3 linked regions of the Drosophila melanogaster genome follow. The gene in region 2 interacts genetically with the main gene of each other region. Each region holds a gene or a part of one and is shown on either strand. Other genes may lie near its edges.

Region 1 (6,863 bases), on a different chromosome or scaffold from region 2:
GGCACAATCACACTAGGTGGCGGAGCACCCGGTGAGTTGGCCACCTGACGGTGTGGTGGTATTGTAGAACAATATTCCATTGGATTGTTTGGGTTTGGCGAACGAATGGGAGTGGGCGGCAATGCCGAACCCGGTGCTGACTCAGAATTCAATCCATTAGCCTGCCGCTCAGAGAGAATCATATAACACTGCACACAAACCCTAGACTCGGGTTCGGTGGCGAATTCCAATCGGAATCGTTGCGAACAGCAGACAGAGCACAAGACCTTTCCGCAGGCGCGACAGTGGTGACGCCTTTTGATCATGGTGAACTTTTGCTGACATTGCATGCACTGCCCGGCCATGTTATCCGGGACCCATATGGGTGGCACCTTGCCCAGATTGGCATGCGGATCGCTGTAGCCCACTGCTTCGTAGATAGGACTTTCCTCGTCATCCTCGCCGGGTATAACACCTACTCCTGCCGCTCCTTCCCTGACTTCGGTAGGCTGCAAAGTTTCCTGTTGAATTTCGGGATTTTCATCTTGAGATGGCGTGGAACTTTCTGCCTGGCAACCATTCAAATTTAGGGTTTGTGGTCGCTGGGGGCGCTGCTCTTGGGTTTCCAGGGCATCCGTTGCCAGGCTGGCATCTTCATGCTCTCGATCGACCTCCACTTCGCCATCTAGTTTCCTGCCCGAAAGGGAATCCGATTCCGTGCTGCTGAAACTGGAGGCTACATCTTCTCCCATCGCGGTAACTGGTGTGGACTCCGGCTGCTTCAGATCAGCAAACTCCACAGTGGAGGCCTGCGAAAAGTTGTCCACGTTCATCTGATCGTTCGAGGTTGTCTCCTGCTCATCGGATAGAATCCGCACCGACTCCTCCTCGGTCACTGGCGAGGCGGAGCAGGATTTCTCATCGTCGGGCATTTGCTGATCGTCCGCCTGGTTGTCATCTGCATCCATCTCTTGCAGCATGCTGTCCAGTTCGGTGTCCGAGATCTCGTCCATGGTGGAGCAGAAGGTCAACGGTTGACTACGCCTGGGATGCTGCTCCTGTGGCAGCTCCACATCCTCTTCTTCCGTTTGTACTGGCTGCTCCATCTCTTTAGGGACCGGTACTTCCGCAACAGATGCTGGCTGAAAATGTAACACCATTATTAATAAACTATACTATATGTCAAGATAGTTTATAACCTTAATTGATTTATGAAGCTGATAATATTTTTAAACTAATGCGCTACACTTATTAGTCATTTACACAAACAAAGTAAGGTAATAGTACTTACTAAATTGGCCAATGGGACATCTATGCCGTTGGTCATTTCGGTTTCGGGTTCTCTACTGGGCGACGATTCCTCCGAGAGCTCCTCGAGGACCTGCCCGAGAACAGACGATGCGGTGACCTCCTCCGGCAATAGGGATTGCGATTCTGTGCCGGACGCAGTGATGGAGATGGATGACAATCCAACTGCTAACTCCTCTACAGTTTGTTTGGATTGCGTTGGCGGTGGAACAGCCTGATCTTGGTGCTGGTCCTCATGCTTGACCTGTTCCGGCTGTTGATCCTGTTCCTTTGGCTCCACCTGAACTTCACTCGTTTTCTCATCTTCGGGGGGCGTTGCTAGCTCCTCCGAGTGACTGCCATTGCTCACGGGCGACGGACCCGACGAGAAGGTGGAACAGGATGAGGTGGTCAGCGATTCGGAGGACGATACTATCGTCTGGCCGTTATTTTTGGACGCCTGTTCGCTGAACTTGTGGATGTCGTCTTCGTGTTCCGCCTCCGTTTGCCAGTCGTAGCTGGGTAATTGGGCATCCACCTGCAAGGACTTCACATTTTCCCTGTAGTCATCCAGGCTGTTGAAAACCTGAGAGACGCCCACAAAGGACTTTCCAGACGCCGGTGTTGGTGTTACTCCCGCAGCTCCCGATACTCCGGCGCCAGCTCCAACTCCACTGATCGATGCACTTGCTCCGTCGCCCAGAAAACGGCCAGGATTTGCACCTGCAGCTGCTGCTGCCGCTGCATTTCTACTCAGCTGCTCATCGGCGGCAATGCTCAGTTCCAGATTGTCCAAAACCTGATCAATGTCCACCAAGTCCATGGCCACCAAATCCGCAGAAACCTTAAATAAAATTGAACCAACCAGGTTTATCTGCTTGCATTTTCACAAAAACGCAAAAGAGAAAAAACAACACAAAAAGATGTGGAGAAAAAACGGTCTTGTGATTCATACCTTTTTCACACCTCGAATATAGTCATAACAAGGCAATGAGGAAAACAAGGACGTATTCGCCTTTAATAAGCAATATTAAGCACCTGCAATCACCTTATTTACTTTGTTTTCTTCTCGCTAATTTATTAACAAAAACTCGGTGACGAAAAACATTGTAAGAAACTGCCTAAAAATAGCCATGGAAACAGTGTTGCAAAGACAAAAAAAATTAAGTCAAATTAGCACCTTTCTCATTTAGTATTTTATGATGCTATCTCGTTCTATCTTTCTCTATAATCTGTTACTGTTACAATGTTAACATAAACCGTAACACCTTTTCAAATTTGAAAATAATAATAGGTAAAAGCTGTCGGGTCCTACACGAATATGAATGCTTCAATTGTTCAATATTAATGCGTATGAATTCAAACAAATCTATTAACATTGGGTCTGGGAAATTTTAGCCGCCAGTCTGTGTTTTTAAAAAAATGTTGGGTTGTACAACTGAACTAACAGTATCACAGAATAACAGTGAACGTACGAGCAACCGAAACAGTGTAAATCAGTGTAACCGCAGCTTAGCTCAAGAAAAATACTATAAGCATTTAAATATGAAATCTTGCCGATTTAAATGAATTCAAAATGTTAATTATATTTGATTGAATTATTATTTGCCTATCAAACATTTAATAATTCTATAATAATATCTTAAGCAAATCATGTAAACAAACAGTAACATAAGAATAAAACCAAAAAAATTCAAGATGTTAAAGTAACATTTTTAATCGCGAAATTGTAACAGAAATATATAAATTTTAAATGAGTACGCGTTTCGGAGTGTCTATTTAAGTCATCACCCAGCTAAGCATAAGAATTGGTATTTTTTAGGAAATGCACAGCTTGGATAATTGAGTCGTTTCTGCATCTGGTAACATTGGCCAAGTCATTCGAAAAAATTTTACGGAGCGAAGAAGGCACGGTTACGTCCGGATTTTAGCGCGATTTCGTGTCTGTTGTTTGGTCGGCACTCGAGTGTAAAGAAATTTGTACATCCCCGAAAAGAATCGCGAGTGCAATTTTGTAAATACGGAGAGGAAAAGGTGCGCAAAATAGCAAAAATAAATGCAACGAAAATAAACGCAGCAAAACAACGGGCAGAAAGATACGAAAAGAAGAGGCAGGCGAAGCAGAGGAGAAAAGAGACACATAAAGAAGCCGCCATAGCGGCGTTAGTGGGAAAGAGAGGGCGCGAGAGGAGACGGAGAGCGAATACGAATGCGTATGGTGTAGTTGTAGTGGTGGGCGGTCGTGTTTTTTTTCGTTGAAAAATCTCTGGATTCAAAGGGAAAAACAGAAAAACAAAAGGAAAATACAGTGTATTATACGAAAAATTTGTTAAATTTTATGTTTTTAAAATTATAAATTACAAAAATCGAATTCGATTAAAACACCCACACACACACCAATACACACAGTAGTTGCGCTGTTGTCTCCTCTTTATTTTTGTGTTTTTCTCTCTGCGTAAACGTTTTGTTTATTACCCCCGCTCTTCTACTTCCTTTCTTTGATTTTAGCCGCGCGCGCATACGATAAATTGTTGTTAATTTTACAGTGTGTAATGCTTAATTAATACCCTGTCTCTCCAACCAACGCTATCTCTTTTGTTTTGCAATTCGATTGATAACACATCGGGAATAGTGTGTGTCTGGAAAATAAATAATCATAATAATCATAGTTTCATGTGTGTATTTAAACAGCGTTCTTCTAGTGTGAAACCAGTTTAAAAAGCTGCAAGAAATATATATAGCTCAATATATATATTTATATATGTGTGCCGCCGCCAGTTCTAATCTTTAAATCAATAAACAAAACTGGAAGCCATTAGCTGAAATCACAACAACAGCAACCGCAGAAGAAACCAACGGGGAAAATGAAGCCAAAGCAGAAGATTTCCGTAGAGCCGCTATTGCTAGTCGCAATTCTCATCGGAGTTCTGGTAGCCGCCACCCACGCTCAAGATCAGGTAAGATCTCAAAAATTACACCCGAAACTACCAAATGTTATTAGTTTACGTTGAGATAAGCCAAAATCAATGGCCAACTTCAAGTTTACCTGGCCAACCGAAATTTAGCCGACTTTGTGATAATATTAATGTGGCTTTAATGGCCATTGAATGCTTATTCATATTAATACGTCACACAGCTTGATTAATTACGAATGGGTCATTATTAGACATTGCTATCCTTTTGTAACGACATACACATGCCCACCAGTTTGGGCACAAAGTGGAGCATTTAAGTGGCCCCTTTCAAAAGCATAGTTGCGTAAGCCCATTGCTGCTTGTAACTGCTTACCAATTAAATCGAGGCAGATTCAATCAGCAATCCGAACTCCCAATTTTCGCCACCTTGAGAGGGTTCGGAACTCCAAGTTCGGTTCGATTTCTTGTTCACTTCAGTTGTTTTTGCGGTTTGCGGTTGTCCAATGCTGTTTCTGTTGTTCTTGTTGTTCTTGTTGTTGCACTTATCATGCAAAATTCGGCAGCCCCAAGGTGGATACATGTGTCATATACCCATGTACCATGTGGCAGAGGCTTGACGGGCAACGGGCATGGGCATGGTCAATCTCCAAGGCATTGCACTGAATGCAATTTGTGGCTGCAGATAATGAAGAGGAAAGGCCTCCATGTCCCGATGAATGTAAGCCGTAAGCTTCTGGCTCCATTGCTCCACTCCTTGGCTTCTTGTAGAAAAGACATTAAAAACGTCTGCATTGCGAACGCATAAATATGGCAGTGAACTAGACGCACAGACATCGGCACTGTGCAATATATATATATAGATAGTTATACATAGATATAGATATCGATATAGAGGACGAGGCGGCTGCTGGTCAAATAAGGCTGCAAATCCGAAATGGTCATCGACTCCAACGCATCGCATCCAGCCATCCATCGATGTTGTCGACTGTTACCCATTAGCGATGAGAGATGAGTGCCGCCACAGAAACAGATATGCCGCCACGTTCATATGGGGAATGCTACTCGGAGATATAGAGATGATTCAATTTCCGACGAATTCCTTTCTATTCGTCTCTCGTGCTTTCTTTAATCACCTGCTCTGCCCAATGAGATCATTTGGTGTCTGAATGTGCTGTTTTGAAAATTGTTTACAGATTCGAAACTGGCCTCTTTGGTGTTTTCCACTCATCACACAGTATTTTTGTCATTAATTGAGTAGTTTAATTTAGATTTACCGATTGTAAACTCTGCTTTTAAAGGGTGTTAACTTAGCAAAACCGGTTAAATTAATGGGCAAGTTGTGTAAATTGCTTAAAACAATTGCCAAGTTGACATTTATGTATTAGTGAAGGCAAAAGTTGGATTTAAACTGCATAATTTCACTTAAATTCTAAAAACTAATTTGAAGACTTGAGTTGGATTACTTATCAGCTTTTCTTGTTATCTAGCGCAATTACTCACATTAAGATTTATTGGCTGATAATAAAACCAGCTAATGAATCAGGCCGCAAGCCCAAAGGGCAATATTAATGTCTCCTTCTTATCTTCACCAAGTATTTTATGTAATTTAGCACATTTATTACATTCCGTGCTTTCTTGTTAGTTAATTATCCGAAATTAGAAGTTCTATTGAGATACGGTAAAAATTTAACAGCCAGTTTTCTTCATTTTCCGCAAAGAGTTTACAGTTGCATTTTCCACAGCTCATCACTGGAAAGCACTTCTTGATTTGGGCCTGGGTTCTGGGCCAGTTTTTGATACAACTTCTGCTACTGGTCACGATGATCTTTGGCATCGTCTGTTGCCAACAAAAGCATCCGGCTATTGCCAATTTCGATGGCTGTGTTTGCCTCTTTCACTGCCTGTTTGTTTGTTTGTTTGTTCGCTTGCCTGTTGGTTTGTTTGCCTTTATTGGTGTGTGACTTATTGGCCCGAAAAATTTCTACACACACTACTTGCACATAAATAGTGCGATGGCCTTTTACCCCTTCGCAAACGCCCGCCCGCCCCTCTCACCCATCTAAAGCAGTCTGTAATCTTGTTTTTGCCGTTCCTTCCATCTTGTGTCCTGTTTTTGGTGTTTGTCACTTGTTTTTGCCAAAATTGGCATTCGTGGTTATGCCCCCCTCCTCGGCTCCTTCGTAGCTCCTTTCCCTGTCGTCGAAAACATTTTGAGAACGTGCCCGGAAAATTGATGAGCAGCACGGCGAGAGATGGCTATAACTTCACCGGAAAGAGGGTGCAAGTTTAATGGTTGTGACTGCTGCAAGTGCCACACTATCTATTTTCCGTTGCTAGCTGTTGCCTCATTTACAAAGTTGGCATAAATCCATTATCTATGGCCATATCCTAATGTCCCTTAATACGAGCGTAAAAACATTTTAATTTTTTTTTTTTAAACATTTTAATATAACAATTAGGATATAAAGGTAGTAGCATTTTTTTGAATGTAACTGTAATTAAGTGTGGAAGTTAGTAAGGGATAACACTCGGTTGCATCCTCTCACCTCAAAGGTGTGGAAACCCAATGTACCACGCCTCCTTTTGCATTGCTCCCTCCCGTTTTCCGCATCCCTACCAACTGCCTGCTGTTTGTGTTTATTTTCCTTTCTTGGAATACCGATTCACATTGCCAGACGGCGA
Region 2 (9,441 bases):
TGCATAATTAATTTCTTCCCTTTCTCCTTTCCATAGTATACAATATTTATTCCGGTTGTTTGTTTTGTGAGCTTTAGCTTTAGATTTTACGCTAGTTAATGTTTCTATTTAATCGTAGTAACTGCAACTTTAAGAAACTGTCTGTGTTTGTTAGTTATTGAACAATGATGTCTTAAGGTTGGACAACATTTTTTATGTTGGAAATTGAAGTTGTATCTTTACAAGGGAAAAAGCGGGGATATCAAATATCAATGGATATCTTAAATGAATCGTAGACAAATATTGATGCCAGAAGATCACAATCATTTAATTAACTGACCATTTTTTAAGACATGCGCTTGTGTAATCAGCTTTATTTTCTCTATAAACTTTTCTGACTTAATCCGTTATTTGGCCAAATCCTTAAGTAACACTTAAAACGGATGCTGAAAAATCCTTTCAGCAGTGCACGTTCGTGGAGCATTCCCCAGCTGCACTGCATTTCTGCTGACCTAATCTCGACCAGGCGCATCCAAGTCACGTACATAATTTCAGAACAAAACCAAATCCGAAACCCCAAACGGCATCTGATATTTGCTCTGCCCAAAGTACGGATATCTGAGAGATTAGGATTCGTGCACTGCCAGCAAGGTCAACAATGGGAGTGGAAGTCGCCTAGCATTGGATATGATTTTATTTGGCATTGGGCGCAACTGAAAAACTGATAAGGAAATGAAAACGAAAATTTCAATTTAGTTTGCAATGTGTTCATTCGAGTTTTATATTTTTTCTTCAACTCTCGCTTAGATATTAGGGCTTAATCGATAGACAATTCGGTTTTATACATAGTACAATAAATAATACTCAGTCTTGCGTAATACAATAATATATAACAGATAACTAAAAACCAAAACTAAATTTTCTTAGAGGGAGGGAGAGGGTACATTCTCGGAGATATATGTTATTACATGGGGCAAACAACATTAGCAGACGATGCAACTATTTACAAGTGACTAAGCAATTGGGCTGCTACTCCCGGCCCTAAACCCTCGACTGACCCCTTATTCCCTGACCTCTGACCCCTGGGTGGGCAATCACGCGGCAACAACAACGACCAATGAGGCGCAATCATCGTCGGCAGGCGCCGCCGGCTGTAAACTTTGTGCTACTGCCACTGCAACTGCAATTGCGGAATCGGAATCTGAATTATCCACCTCCTCATCCTGCCGCCCACTTGGCATGTTAATGCAAATGGCAGGCGTTGCTGTGGCCAAGTTGCTGGATTCCGAAGAGGATGGCGACGCGGATGCAGACGTGGACGATGAGGAGTCGGCTTTATCCTCCTCCACTGCCGCTGCCGCTGACAGCTTGCACTTTTGCAGCTTATTCAGCGGCTCCTGCTTCTCCCAATTGGAAATGCAATGGTGATGATGATGCACGGCCGCCAACGAGGGATAAACGAACTTCATGCCGTAGGCAAAGTGCCGAGGCTGATGATGCAGTGCCTCATCGTAGCTGGGCAATCCGGTGGCGATTGTGTAGCAGGGCGGCGATTCGATTTGGTAGAACCCAGCCTCGCTGCTCCGATGATGTGGATGCTGCATCTGCTGGTGCAACAGCAGTCTGCTGGCATCGCAACCAACCAGGTGCGAGGAGTACGAGTCACTGGCCGCATGGATCTGGGCACGTATGTCCTTATCTGCAATAAACAGAAGACGGAGTTTGTTAGTTGAGTTTGTCACCAGAAAGTTTCTATTGTTTAGATGGACAGAGAAAAAAAAGGGACTTTTTGGGGCAAGCAATGCAGAAAGCACAAATTAAGATTCTTTAAACATTGAGATATAACAATATTCCACGTAACTAATAGTTAAAATTAAAATTCGTTTTTGTTTAAAATTTATTTCATGATACTATTTTTTTTCATTTCTTGCTGTGTAGGAATAGCGGAATGGGTGCTTCCCAATCAGGCATCAAAGTTTTGACTCTGTCATTACTTTGTTTGTCCATGTCAAAGGACATTTGTAGAAGGACGGGCCCGTGGCATTAAATTCAATTTAGCGTAAAGGCGCAAACGCTTGAACTTTCCCGAATGCAGAGGCAAAAAAAAAGGCGAAAAAAATGGCAAAAAAGGGGAAGCGGAAAGTTTTGTGCTGACCGGAAATGCCGGCGAGGATGGCAGGACAGGCGAAGTTCCTTCACAGCGGACTGACTGCCACCCAAGCAACAACAGCAACTAGGCAATAATATGCCGGAAGTGCGCGCGTGGCAGAATGGAATGAAATAAAATACTCTCTCGCATACACACAGACACACAGGCTCACACATACACGTTCGCCAACTGCCAACTGCAATGAAATAAAAGCTCGACAGCCCCGGAAAGTAGGCAGCAGAAAGCATTTAATTTTTATAATGCCGCAGCTGCTGTCCATGTGTGTGTGCTTGAGTGTGTGTGTGTGTGCATGTTTCAAATTAAGCAGAGTTAAATTAAGATTGGAAAATTCCAATTTCCATGCACACGCGCTCTAAGCCGAGGCCATCAAAGAATTTAATTTGGTTGTATTTTGAGTTACAGCAGATTAAAAATGCATGAAGCAATAATTTGCCTCAAATAGAATTTCGGCCCAGCATATGTGGCATTGCAAAAAGTGGCAGGTATTCAGTATTATTAAATGCAATTTAAACTGCATTCAATAAATAAATAGGGGATCGCCTCTGTCCATTTTTTGTGTCATTTAATTTGGTTGCCGCCTCGCTGTGGAAAAACTCGGCAATTTTTTAATTGTTCAGGCTGTATTTTTCATAAATTCTCTGTTCCCGAAAACGCTTTTTCAATTAAAGCGCATCTCGCAGGAAGGAAAGGTGGTCGGTATTTCGGTTTTTGTGGCATGGGGTAAAGCCTGTTGAAAAATTTGCGCATTACAATATTAAAACGCAGCGGTAGCAGAACCAGTCAGCAGTTACAGTGGCTGCCAGCAGTTGTTGATTTATTGTTATAACTGTAACACACACACACACATATATAAATCCTTTTTTTCGGCCAGAACACCCTACATGAGGACTCTGTCTCTTTGTTTTCCCTTTTTCGACTTTTGTTTCCGTGCTTTTTTCCTTGCTCTCTGTTTGATAGACAGCCGGCAAACGGGGCCCTGGACTAAGGGGGCGTGGCCCACTCATACACAGACTGCAGGCTTCATATTTTATGCAAGTGTTGAACAAACAGCCGCCCCTGAAAAAGGTGTACCCCCCCCTCCCCATCCACCAACTCAGCCGCTTCAAGCATTGCAGATGGACGCAAAGAAAGTCGGAAAATCGGGAAAAAGGTGGCCGATGCACGCAGAAAATTTATATTACTAACTAGAAGTCCTATGGTGATATCAAATGTCTTTTTTTTATTCACTTTCTATTATGCAAACCAGTTAGTGATGTTATTTTGAGGAAAATAAAATATCACTAACGGAACAAATATTTAGATACAAAATTTAGTTTTTATTTCGCTCTCTGTGCGGTTGGCAAAAAAAAATTAACGCCATTCGTTGATGCCTTTTGTTTTTCAGCTGCATTGGCACTTTGCCTTCTTTCTCTTTATTTTTGCATTTGTATCCTGTCTTTTTTCCCCATTTCTGTTGTCGATGCGCCCAAATGTATGCAACAATTTAAATTCATCGCAATAAGCTGGCACTCTCGAATGGAAACTGGCAAATGGAAAGCAGTGAGCTGCTTTATTTTGTGTTGCCATAAATGTCTGTTAATTTTTTAAACGCCCCAACTTTTCTGGCTTTATTCGATCTGAGTGGAGTTTTTTATTTAAGAATTATGATCATTGTATTTAAGCTGCTTTCAATTGTTATTAAGCCGCCCATTGAAATGGGTATTCGATTTCGAGTGTTTCCATTTTTCCCACACAAAAGATGCAGTCTCAGCCATTAAAACTTTTGCCAGCTCTATTATGTATGCCTTTCCCATACCACTAAGTGCTGGTCGGCTACAAAACAATTTGGTTAATTACAGCACTCAATTTGAGTTTGCCAAAATGGGGGTAAAAAACTACCAAAGCAACTAAAATATTTTCCATGGCCGAAAAAGAGAGCAGCTTCTAGTTTTTCTGCGCTGCTCGCTACGAAAACCATTAAAAATTTAAAAGGACTGCCGGGCTAAGAGCAACTTTTTCTGGTCTTGGGCAAATATGCTACGCTTAATTACATTTTTACGCAACTAAATTATGCAGGACCTATACAACATGATAAACAGTGGCTGTTGCTCCTCGGCTTGGCTTTGGCTTTAATTTAGTAACTTCATCTGGTCTGTTAATAAATTCAGTCGTAGTCCTCCGCTGCACTAATTGATAACAAGCCAAAGCCAAAGGACCGAAAGTTTGCCATCGCCAGTGTGTGTGACAGTTTAATAAATAAGGTGTAAGCCTGGCTGCCTGGCTGGCTGAATGGCAACTGGGCCAGACACTCTTGTGTTTGGGCCTCGTTAAGCATTTATAAGGTAAACACTGCGAGACGCCACGTAGCTGGCATTAAATGCACAAAAGCCGAAGTGAACTCCGGCCTAGTTGCTTAATTATAAATGACACACGTACTTCTCGTATCCCAGTATCCCAGTATCCCGGGCAACCTATCCCACCAACCACTTGCTATCTATCTGGGCCATAGGACCAGGGAAGAGCACACAAAAAAAAAATAGAAGCACAGAACACGACACTAACGAAACTAATTAGACGCATTGGACGGCCGAAAGCAGGCAACACATATCGCTCAAATTGATATTTCACGTATATATATATATATATATAAATGGAGCTTTCCGGATCCACCCTTCTTGGTCGCGTGTCGTAATCGCAGGGCAAAGTTTTTAAGGCTCGTTAGCACAAAATTGACAGTTTGACAGTTGAGTTGGCCAGGCTTTAAGGCCACGGCCCTTTGGCCCAAGAAGTTGTGCTCACAGTCCCAGGAACAGGACGAAAGTTTGCTCCTGGCCGTAGTCCTTCACTTGCTGCCCGGCCTAAATAAATCATTTGGCTAAATTGGTCTGCAAAAAGTTTGACACTTGAGTCGGAGTCTTGTTAGTTGTGTAGGTTGTTTAGCCAGCCCCTCCAATACAATTCCATTTAGGTTCTGTTCAGTTCTGTTTGGTTTAGTATGAGTTGGGTTCTTTGTTGTGGTGCTCCGTAATTATGTGTAAAGTGCCTAAACATATGATTTATTTTTGGGATTGGGATCAACAGGTTTCGAGCAGATAAGATATATATTTACATGGGCTCTATTTGGGTTGAGTGTTGGTAATCTGGGTCGGATTTAGGTGGGATTTTGATAACAGTTGTGTCAAACTTGATTGATTTTGGATTTAATACTGGACTGCCAGAGCTGAACTAAAAGTGTGAGAGATGTCAGAAAAATATGAAATTCAATTTTTAATGTTTCTAGGTCCTAAACTAATATCAAACAAAATAAATATTTTACAATCTCGCCCACTTACAAAGGCCACATTTCCTCAGACTTTAGCTACGCAGCTGAGTGATATGGTCCATCATTATTTTATTATATTACTCTTTACCGCCTCGGCCCCCAAAACAAAATATATAAATATCAAGGCACAATTTCACGCCTTTCGCCTGCAAAACAAATTTCGGGGCAACAATTCCAATTTTTCGAGGGAGAAGGGTCGACGAGGTCGTCCATATTCTCCAGCTCGTACATTATCGCTATCATAAAAGGGGCACAATGCCTCCGAGGCGAGTCAATTTAATATTATAAATATGCGGCACATATATTTTGTGGCATAATAAACTTGTGTATCTAAAATTACAACAGAACGATGCAAACGGCTGGCTGACAATTTCGAAGCGCGCCAAAAAATTTATGAGGCTTTGCGGCCATAGGAGCTCTATGGAGCAAAGCTCCCAAGCTGATGGAACCGATGGGTGGTGGTGGGACCTGTTTCGGTTGCTCTTTCTGTTTCTGCATTTTATATTGTTTAGCCAGCTGAATAAATGGCCGGAGATAAGGCTTTGGCGAAACATTTTGATTAAAGTCGAGCACATAAAAGCCAGATGTATGGCATTTTGGGGGCGGAAAATGAGTGGGGATTATATTTGGGTGGCTGTCCGACTGAAACTTACTGCATTTTTTCCAAGTGCGGAACTTCCTGTAGAAGTAGCAGCTGAAGAGGATGAAGACCAGCGACAGAATGACCAGCGAGCTGACCACTCCGATCCACAGATAATTGATGATCACATGCATGTCGGCATCCCCGAAGATCTGGCTCCACCACGAGGATTCGCCCGATTCCTCGGACCTATCCCGCAAGTCGGCCAGATCCAGAACCACCGACTTGGAGAGCTGCTCGGTGCTGATGCTGCCATCCGGAGACCAGCCGCTGGGTGGAGCGGGATCGTAGGACACCGCTGCGTTGCCAATCCTCTGGAGCAGGGCGTTGAAGGAGTTGAGGGCGTCGATGTGTCGCAGATCGTGGGCACTGGGTATCTCGAAGGTGATCTGATTCTGCTGCAGGTGCTCGGCAATTGCAGCGGGACTCATGCTGCTGGCCGGCGCGGATATGTACTCCGCATAGAGCTCTTCGGCAGTTGTGGTGGTCTCCACTGTTGGATAATCCGTGGTGCTAATCATGGTGATTGCCTTTGATTTATTTTAATTTGTAAACTTTATTTTCTGCTTGCGTCTGGCACACGCACACAACTGCTGGCACACTCGCGTCACGACACGTAAACAAATCGTTTGGCTCTATATATAAGTCATGGGTTCGATTTCGGGTTTTTTATTTGCCGTAGAGTTTCTATAGCTCGATTTTCGGTGCGTCCGTTCGCTGGAGCGGCTATAAGTTGACTGACTGCTAGCTGGCAGAGCATAATACCTACATCGGGTCGCTGAGAATGCCATGCCATGCGGGAAATTTGCCATTCCACTCACTCATTTTCTCGATTCACTCGCTCTTGAGTGAGTCGTGGGCGAGGCACTCAAGAAATCAAGTCAAGTCCTTGCTTAAAGAAGCATGCAATTTCTGGCATGTCTTTTATGTTTTTAAATGTTTGACGTCCTTTCGCCTTCTCCCTGCCTTATTTTTTGCTCTCCAGCTGACCTAGTTTGACCAAAAACTATATTTTCCGTACGAAAACCAGAGAAAAAAACGCTGTTAAGAAGGGAAAACTTCACCTCGGTCACGTTCGTTGTTTAAAGTTTTTCCAACGCTTTTCGGTCTTGTGTTTTTCCAGCAAATTGCTTTGTGGCAAAGTTTCAGTCTGTGCTGATTTTAATGAAAGGCAAAAAGGGGTTCTGAGGCATTTGATAAGCCTGAGCGCGAAGTTTGCGCCAAATCAAACGAAGAATTATGGCCAGCTAAAAGTTTTGTTTGGGCCATGAAGAATTTATGGAAATTATGTGACGTCTAGCTTTTAGCCATCTTAAACTAACCCAGTTTTCACTGGCTTTAAAGTAGCCCAGAGCCCAAACTGTAACCAGAACTCAAAATCTCGACCATTATGAGTCCCTCGAGCGTCAGGATACCGCAATGCTTCCTGCTGCCAGCAGTTGCTGTTGCTTCCAAAAAGGCTAAAATGGGGTACAAAACAACAAAAAATCAGGAAGGGGATTCGACCCACAGCACGCTTCATTTCTGCTCATGCTGACCATAAGCCGGCAGTGTGGCAAAAACTCAATGCACAAAAGGCTCCGACGACACAAAAACGTGCCAAAAATATCCTGCTCAGAAAGTGGAACAAATGCACTGCACCCGAACTCACTCCAATGTCATTCGAAAACCCACTCGAAAACCGGTTCTTCTCGGAGAGACTTGGACTCAAAAAGGGAAATTTTCTCCCACTTGATTGCGCACTCTCTCTCTCTCTCTCTCTCTTTTGCAGTTTTTCTCGCTCTCTCTGGTGAGTGAATTTTCCCATTTCCCTGGCGCAAAACCAAACTAAAAATGAGCAGTCGATGGCAGTTGCCTTTGAACTGCCCTGGGTTAAAGGTCACACGGTGTGTTGTGGGTGTTTCAAAATGTCAGAGGTCTTGGGCGGCTGGAAAATACGTAGTTTTTCCCGACAACTACAATGTGTAGTTTCGACTGCCTCGTAATTGCCAGGGGGAAATTGAAATAGATGCCCGATAATAAGCACTTAGCTAGAGACCAAAGTCACTCGATAAATGCATTAAAAACTTTTCCGAGCCCAGGCGAAAACTTCTGCACTGCACTTTGGCAAGCCGAGCTTATCGTTAATTAGCTTTCGACTAATTTTGAACTTGAGCATAAGTTTTAACTGCAGCGATTTTAATCAATGCGTGTTTGCGGGCATACTTCAGTACGTTGGGTAGTTCAGGGAAACTTTGATGGCCTAAATGCAGCTAGAAAATAATCATTTCCTTGGTATATTTAATAACTTGTTGGTCTTTGGTGTAGTCGAAATTCGTAGTGGTAACAAAATAAGTGGGACTTAATATAAATCAGGCTGTACAATAAGAATAATCATTTTAATAATTTTATATATTTTTAAAGCATGAAATAAATGCTTTTGTACAATTTTAGCAAACAATGGAATTAAGTTTGGCATCACAAATATTTTCTTATGCTAGCCCACTCACAAATGCAAACTATACTCGCAAACACTCGAAATAATTCACTTGTATACCACCTTTGTAGAATACCACAAAAAATGTCATCACACAATTTGATTTGTTGGAATTCCTCTTTGAGCTTTCAATAACATTTGTTCGCATTTCTTCGTTTGTAATCCAATTTTGATGGCAATGCAAATTAAATTCACATCACTTGACTTGTCGCATTCAATCTGCTCGGATGGAAAACCAACCCCGAACGATATTTTCCAACAAAAGTGGGGTTTGATAAACAAGTTTACACCTCTTTCGTTTGTGTGCAGCGAAGTATGAAACCTCACAGCCTGTCTCTGCGTGATTTTAATATGAATCCTTAGAAAATTGTGAATATTCTGTCTTTCAGACAGGAGTCACAAGGACTACTATGCAAGCGCAGGCAGATGCTCCGTGACACCCAGCTAAAAGTAAATTCATTAAAAATTCCATCATAAAAATACCTCGGCTGACGTGAGCGCCCGAAAAAAGGACGAAGAACTTGTATTCTTTTTACTAACTAACTAAAAGTAAACCATAAAATAGACAAGACACCACCAGGAAAGGGGCGCTGAGCGGGAGCGGGCGTGGCTATAAGACTGAAGGAAGGAAGGATGTGGACTATATCTCTGGGTTTGGGCTCGGGCTCGGGTTCTATGCTTTGTGCATGACTCGCTCCGCTTTCATCTTATCTTCCAGCTTCCATCACACTTCACTTACATGCTCTTTAACATGTCAACATGTCAGCCCCGTACGTGTGTGTGTGAGTGTGTGTGTGTGTGCCTGTGCACTGGTGTTGGCGCCCGTGAGGGTGTGTGGATGTGTGTGACATAGTGACATAATAAAATGTTACTTT
Region 3 (6,788 bases), on a different chromosome or scaffold from region 2:
GCCCTAGAAGAGGGCAATTTACATCGAGTCACGCCCTTTCATTAAAGCTACTCATCAATTTGAAGTGCCAGGCGCTTCAGTCATTCAACAAGCTTAAGGGATTTATTCACCGCATGTATACATTCGCATATAAATGCTACATGTATGCATTTCATTTTTTTATTACATTTTATTTCATTTATTTGGCAGAGGCACTCGGCAAACAATAAATGTCAGCCGCCTGGTGATAGTAACACACTTTGCAATGACAGATACATTTGTATCTGGCAGATACGACGGCAAATACAGAACAAACGCGTCTATCATCTGGGTCGGATTCACCAAATAAACCCACGAGTTTTGTGGGTCATTTTCTTTGTACGAGTATATTATGAAACAGCACGAAGTTCTTCATCCACGGTCACGTTGTCATCTCTAGATTTCGATGGTGGCTTCATTATTTGTTTGTTTACTATGTTGCACTCGGCACGTACGGGAAATAAAGCAAAGGAAAATTGCATAAATGCCCGGGCAAAGTGTCCATTGTTCTCTGGGCCCTATCATCCTAAACTCTCCTCCCATCCTAAACTCTCCCACATCTCCTATATGTGATTTATGAAAGCTTTTTGCCCGACTGAAATTATATTTGAAACAACTTTTAGTCAACAGCTTATCAATAACAATAATAAAATCCGGAAAAACCCAGATGTGACTCTAGAAACTCATTTCACTCGTCAGCGAATCTTCAAGTTTTTTTTGTCTCTTTCAAGATCAAAAAAAAAAAAAAAACGAAACCAAAAAACTGCAGATAAGTTACGTAAAAAGTAGCCGCAATCTCAAGCTGAAACTAAGATACGGATACAGTATCTTTATCTTAATTCCCAGCTGTATCTTGTTACTGTATCTCAGAACTGTTGCTTTTCACAGCATTTTTGGTTTATATATTTCTTTCGCTTCCGCTGCTTATTTGTGGGAGAAAAACTCTTCTCCGATAGCTGTTGCATATATATATATATATATTTTTTTATAATTTTTTCATTTTTAATCATTATAATATGGTTTGTGCAGCCCAGACAGATAATGCCGAGACATTGACCTTTTTCGCAGATTTTTTGTTTGTCTCTGGCCTTTTCTATTCGCCTCGCTTCTGGGTTCTCGGTTCTTATGTCTGCTCTCTTTCTTTGTTGTCAGATTAGCCGGCCAAGTGGATAAACCAGTTTTTGCCTCCGCCACTCTTCTTGGCTTGATTCTTGGCCCTCAATCCTCACTCTTTTACCCATGTTCATGTTGCTTGACTTTGGCTAATTAGCCAAGAGTGGAAGTTGTTGTCATGATCCCTCGCCCCGCCTCGAATTTCGTAACGTTGAACTTAGGAAAATCTTGCCATGCAAACAAATTAGTTGAAGTGGCGAAAAAACGGTCTTCAATGCAGTAACGACATTTTTTTTATCACAAAACACAATATATTCATAAATTAAGTAGCACAACTCTGATATATATATTTATATATGTAGATGTATAAGCTAAATGTTTCATTCCTACTGTGTGTTTCATACCGAAGTATATAGTTTTAAAATTTTGTAAGTCCCCTTTTGTTAAACCCAAGCTAACGATTTCACAATAAAAATGGATGAGTCCCCTGAGCTTTACTCAGGTTTTCATGACTCACGTTATACCTTATGCTTTTCGCCTTCTTCGCTCTTTTTGCCCCAACAATGGACTTGCTTTGTGGAAATAAATAGGTAGAATCTGAATTTGTATATTTACATGAACATACATACATATATGAGTAGCTAACTTAAGTGTAAAAAAAGTACATTCACGGCTATATAGATTGTTATTAGAGTCGGTTGAGTTTGAAACCTTGGCACCTGCAAGTGAGAATATTGCTGAAAGCAAACACTCTGGGTCACAAGAAAATCATTCTGTCAATTCGCTTGGAGTGACAATAGCGAAATTAAATTAATTATGCAAAGCAACCCCATTTGTTTAATAACAAAATACACCCACAGCATAGTTAGGGAGGCGAGAAAACCCAAAGACAATTACCCAAAGTGTCTACTAAAATTATAAGAAACCCTCTGTGTTCCACCCTCAAAACGATACCCTTCCCCTTCCCCCTAATATCCTTCACTCGTCAATTATCCTGGCAAAGTACGTAATTATTTTTGTTGCTCGAAGGGTTCTGGGTGAAAATGTTAACTTTGTTTCCGCCTGATTGAGCACTTATTCCAATGTTATTGTCTATGCGTCATTTGCAGCACCCTCGGCTGTATTTCATTTTAAGCCCCGATTGTTGTGGTTTCTTCGGTTGCCAGTGAGTCAAGTGCAGAAAAAAAACACCAATGCTTTATGTATTTTTAAATTAAAATATTTAAAAAATTATATGAAATAGGAACGGAAACCATTTAGATTACATTGTTAATCAATGTTAGTTTTTCGAACTTACCATTTACGATGATGATGAAAATGATCGATACGAATACAATGTTGAAAGCACATTTTGATGACATTATTTGCGATGGGGATCCAACGTGGATGGCTGTCGACTAAACAGAACTAGCACCAAATTTCTGCTTGCTTTTGTTTTATTTTTTATTTTTTTTATTTCCGCGAAGGTCGTTGATTGGTCTTAATAATTTCCTTGTGGCAGTAGTTGGTTGCGTTATTGGGCGGCACCTCGCACTCCAATCTTCGCGGGTTTTTTAATCAGAGCTTTGCACTTTCCATGCCATTTACAAATTTAGCACTTTTTGCATGGGCCATAAAACTTCGCAGCACTTTTTCGCACGCACGAATTATTTTTGCTATTTGTTGCAACTTCTTTTCGAGCTCTTGTCACGTACACTTTTCTTATATTTTTATTTTTGTTTTATTCCAATATTTTCTCGTTAATAAATTAAAAGCGAAAATAAAAAAGAAAAATCTTCTTTTTTGATTGATTTTGTGTGTTTATTCACTGGATTGTTTATTTCTGAAGGCAGAAGAGCGAGACATTTTGATTGATTTAATATTATTAAAAATATACTATTTAAATATAAAAATAGGCAATTTTATTTGTTTTATTGTTTTTTTTATAATTATGTTTTTTACTATTTACGCTATATTCATAAGTTCGGTATGCGTTTTTTCTTGTTTAATAAGTTTATGAATAGTTGGAAAACCAAAACATTAGCAATACAAACAAACATAAAATCACAACAAAAACAGCTATTGGCCTTTGCACTCACACAGAGGCAATGAGCAAGCGCGGAGAGGAGAGCAAGAGAGGGAGATGCAACAGAGACGACAAAGAGCGACGGAAGACGGAAAAGGAGAGAGCGACAGCTGCGGCGCAAACGCAACAAAATGCATTAAATTAATTATTGTTGCTTTTAAAACGCTTGTTGTTGCTGGCACAAAAGAACAACAAATCGATTTGTTTACAATGCTGTTTCAAAATAATTAAACAGAAAAATGTTTTCGTGAATAGTATTATGTGTAGTTTAACTTCGCAATAGGGCTAATTTAACAATGTTTTTGCATGTTTACTTATTTTCGTGTGCCTCGTCTTGTACTTCTTTCATGCTCTCTCTTTTATGTTGCTTCTCGGATTGCCTCTCTACATTTCTCTCTCTCACTCTCGTTTGCTATGTGTTGCCAGTAAATTAAATGCGTTGAAATGCAGCCATTTTGTCTCCGCAATTGGCACTCACTTGAACTCCGGTCGAATTTTTTGTTTAGCCACAATTCTCAATTGGCCAGAATTGGGGGCATTTTCTTTGATTAGCGCACATTTCTTAAGCCTGACTTGACGATATATATTTATTTTTATTCGCTCACCCGCTCGCACATTAGCACACACACACACACGAACGCACGCACACATGCAAACGCACGAACACGCGTCCAGCGATTTTCCGACTCCCACGGCGTTCCGAGATCCGTTACAAAGAGTTACGCGTCCAACTCGCTTGGTGGTTTTTTTTAAACTACCCGATTTCTCACCACATATACAAATGTACTTCAGTCTTAGAGTGACCAGTATCATAAAAAGAGATAATCTTTCTAATGCGTTAGTTTTCGTGTGCGTTAATACTGATATTGACGAGAGATGATACAATGACTCATCGTATTCACTATAGTATATTAATAATAGTTAGATTCATTAAATAAAACTTATTTAGGCAACAGCACTTACTTTTCAGCTAATTAAACATATTTAAACATTATTGATACTTACGCATAAGGTATACAGCAAATACAAATGTTATTTATGTTATTTAAATTAAGCTATTGCAAAATAATATTTTAAACTCTAAAGAGAATTTGTTTAATTGAATTAAAATTAAAATCATTTTGTTTTGTGAGCTTGTGTACTTCTTCGTTCATTTACATAAATTTTTTTTTGAACACTTAAATTCAAAAAAGGCGCCAAAATTACTTTATTTTGCAGCCCTCGTCCACTTCAACGAAAATATTTTTACGCCTGGTGGCAACCTTTATCATATGGAACCAGTGTTGCCACATTTGATATTTTAGATTTATAATGAAAACTATTAGAAATTTGATATATTTAACAAATAAGCTGTTTACATCAGAAGCTTGTTTTGTTGCTATGCTAATAAGCTGGATAGGGCCATTTGCTATGGTTATCTACTGATTTAAATTTGCCTATCGCTTACTGTGATAATTTGAGTATACGTTAAAATACAACCATTTTGAATCGCGCGCTCATTATTAACATGCTCGGATTTTTTAGTGATAAACTCGTTAAGACGCTCTGAGTTGTGTCACCTGGCAACACTTCGTCAGATGCTCATCGAGTGTTGCTGCGGGTGGACGTGCTCGCTTTCTCTGTCCGTTACCGTTACCTCGTGTCTGCGTTCACGTATCCGTGTGTCTGTCCGCGTTCCCCGTCCGTGTGTGGGTGTAGGTGCGAATGTGTGTGTGCCTTTGGTCGCGTGTCGTCGCCGCTTTCATGTAAACGAAGATTGTGCAAAAGGTAAACGCCAAACGGTGGCAACAACAGTAAATGATAAACAGAAGCGAAACAACTAGCAAGCGCAGCAACAACCACAACAACACAAACAGCAAAGAAGCAAGCAAACAAAACTTGTGAAATACTTTTTGTTTATTTTTTTTTTATTTTGGCCTGGTCTGGTGGCAAGTGGCAAAAGCTATAAAAAACGATTCTCGAAAACAGGTTTCCTGCGTGAGCGAGAGAGAGAGAGAGAGAGACCGAAGCGTTTACTGCAAACTAGAAGCTCAACTGCTGCCGCACAGTGGTCACTACAGTTCTAAGCTTGCCCCACTGTGCGCCCAGAACTTGTTTTCTTCTTCTTTTCATTCGATTCCCCTCCCCACTCCTTCGTTCCAACTGCAGCTAACTACTCCTTTCATCGGGCGTTTTAGAATGCATATTTGGTTTATGGGAAGCTCACATGCAGCGCCCCCCGAAATCAATACGGAAAACGGTTTTTCCCGAAAGAGCCGTTACTTTTCGGGAAAATCCCCATTCCACGGCACCTCGGCTCTGCCACAAAAATCAGCTGGCTCGGCAGTCGGCGCAGCTCTGCCGGCGTCGGCAGTGGAGGGACTGCGTCGGGCGCCTAGCAACAGAGGTTAAACCTCTGACTACAGGGACGGTTCACGCTTGGGCGGTCAAAATCTCGGGGAGCAACACGTTACATAAGGTGGCTGAAAGTTTGTCAACCTCAAGTTTGGTTACTTGTGTGTCTAGGCATTATGTGATTGTTAAAATCACGTGGCTTATACAATTGTGGTTGAATATCTTATAGTTTGCATTGTTTTTAAATTTTTTGAAAGTTCTTATAGCAGAATATTCTCTTAACCAGAAGATGAATAAAACAAAATAGTAAAAGTCCAAAAACGCTAAAGAGCTTGATTTTTTATGATACCTTACTTGAAACTTCCGAGATTAGCTTTTTGCCCCTCCCCGATGTTGAAGGACTTCGGTCCTGGTCCCTACCGCCGTCAGCTGTGCGCTCAGTGCGCAGGCGCCACACACACACACACACAGATGTGCCAGCCACAGGCAGCAGGAAGCAGGCAGAAGAAGAAGAAGAAACAGCAGGAGCAGCAGAGGAGGAAAAAGCGGACCAGCCTGCTGGTTAACTGCCTGACTTTGGCCCGCAAAATTGCATTGCTGGCGTCTCGCTCGCACGCACTTACTTCGGCAGTAATGCCGGAAAATGGGAAAATGTGAATGTGAATCGATGGTGGAGGAGGGCGGGCGGTGAACAGCGCGATGTGGGCCGAAGTTCGCAGTCGGCAGTCGGCAGTCGGCTTTACATAAGTTGACGTCCGTGGCAGGCGGTCTGCTCCTGGAATTTCAGTGCCCGGCTGCAGGTCCTTTGCTCAGGTTGTGTAGACGCGCTTTTCAGTTTTTCCGGTGGATCAGCTGCTGGCGCTTTGCAACTGGTTCGGATTTTCCTTAATTTTCTCTGCGCTACCCCTACTTACTTTTGATTTGTAAAGTTTTCTTTACTATTTTTGTATTATTTTTGGTTTTATTTTTTAATTGGTTCTGCCCCTGCAAACCGGCTGCAAATGGCCAAAAGGTTCGTCGACAGTTTTGTGTTTTTTCAGCTGTTCGGCTGGTGGAAGGCAAAAAAAAAAAAATAAAAAGTGGTTAGACCTCTTTTTTTTATTACACTTTAATTTGGATTTTTTGCCATTATTTATCTCATTTCTCAACTATTGCTATTTGCCGCCTGCGTGGGCCACTTTCAAAAGCTTTTTTTCGGGGCTTCCGTCGATTAGTTTTGGCTTTATTTATTTATTTATTCCGTATTCGACGAATCATA

Evidence for each region.
Region 1: of comm (region 2) and Sdc, changing one suppresses a phenotype caused by changing the other (phenotypic suppression), as found in Drosophila melanogaster (one study listed by BioGRID).
Region 3: of comm (region 2) and kuz, changing one suppresses a phenotype caused by changing the other (phenotypic suppression), as found in Drosophila melanogaster (one study listed by BioGRID).

The regions. Positions count from the first base shown.
Region 1 is NT_033778.4:21,477,451-21,484,313, reverse strand, and holds the start of Sdc (syndecan), read left to right. Parts: upstream 1-3,137; 5' UTR 3,138-3,300; intron 3,301-3,935; exon of another isoform or gene 3,936-3,957; 5' UTR 3,958-4,130; coding exon 4,131-4,223; intron 4,224-6,863. Other genes in the region: Sara (smad anchor for receptor activation), read right to left, coding at 1-1,121, 1,271-2,089. UniProt on the Drosophila melanogaster protein: Cell surface proteoglycan that bears heparan sulfate. Required for axonal and myotube guidance, is a necessary component of slit/robo signaling and is required in the slit target cells.
Region 2 is NT_037436.4:15,721,594-15,731,034, forward strand, and holds the start of comm (commissureless), read right to left. Parts: upstream 6,838-9,441; 5' UTR 6,612-6,837; coding exon 6,104-6,611; intron 1,679-6,103; coding exon 1,074-1,678; 3' UTR 1-1,073. UniProt on the Drosophila melanogaster protein: Controls axon guidance across the CNS midline by preventing the delivery of Robo to the growth cone.
Region 3 is NT_033779.5:13,547,307-13,554,094, reverse strand, and holds the start of kuz (kuzbanian), read right to left. Parts: upstream 3,957-6,788; 5' UTR 3,802-3,956; exon of another isoform or gene 3,675-3,801; intron 2,954-3,674; 5' UTR 2,493-2,953; coding exon 2,429-2,492; intron 1-2,428.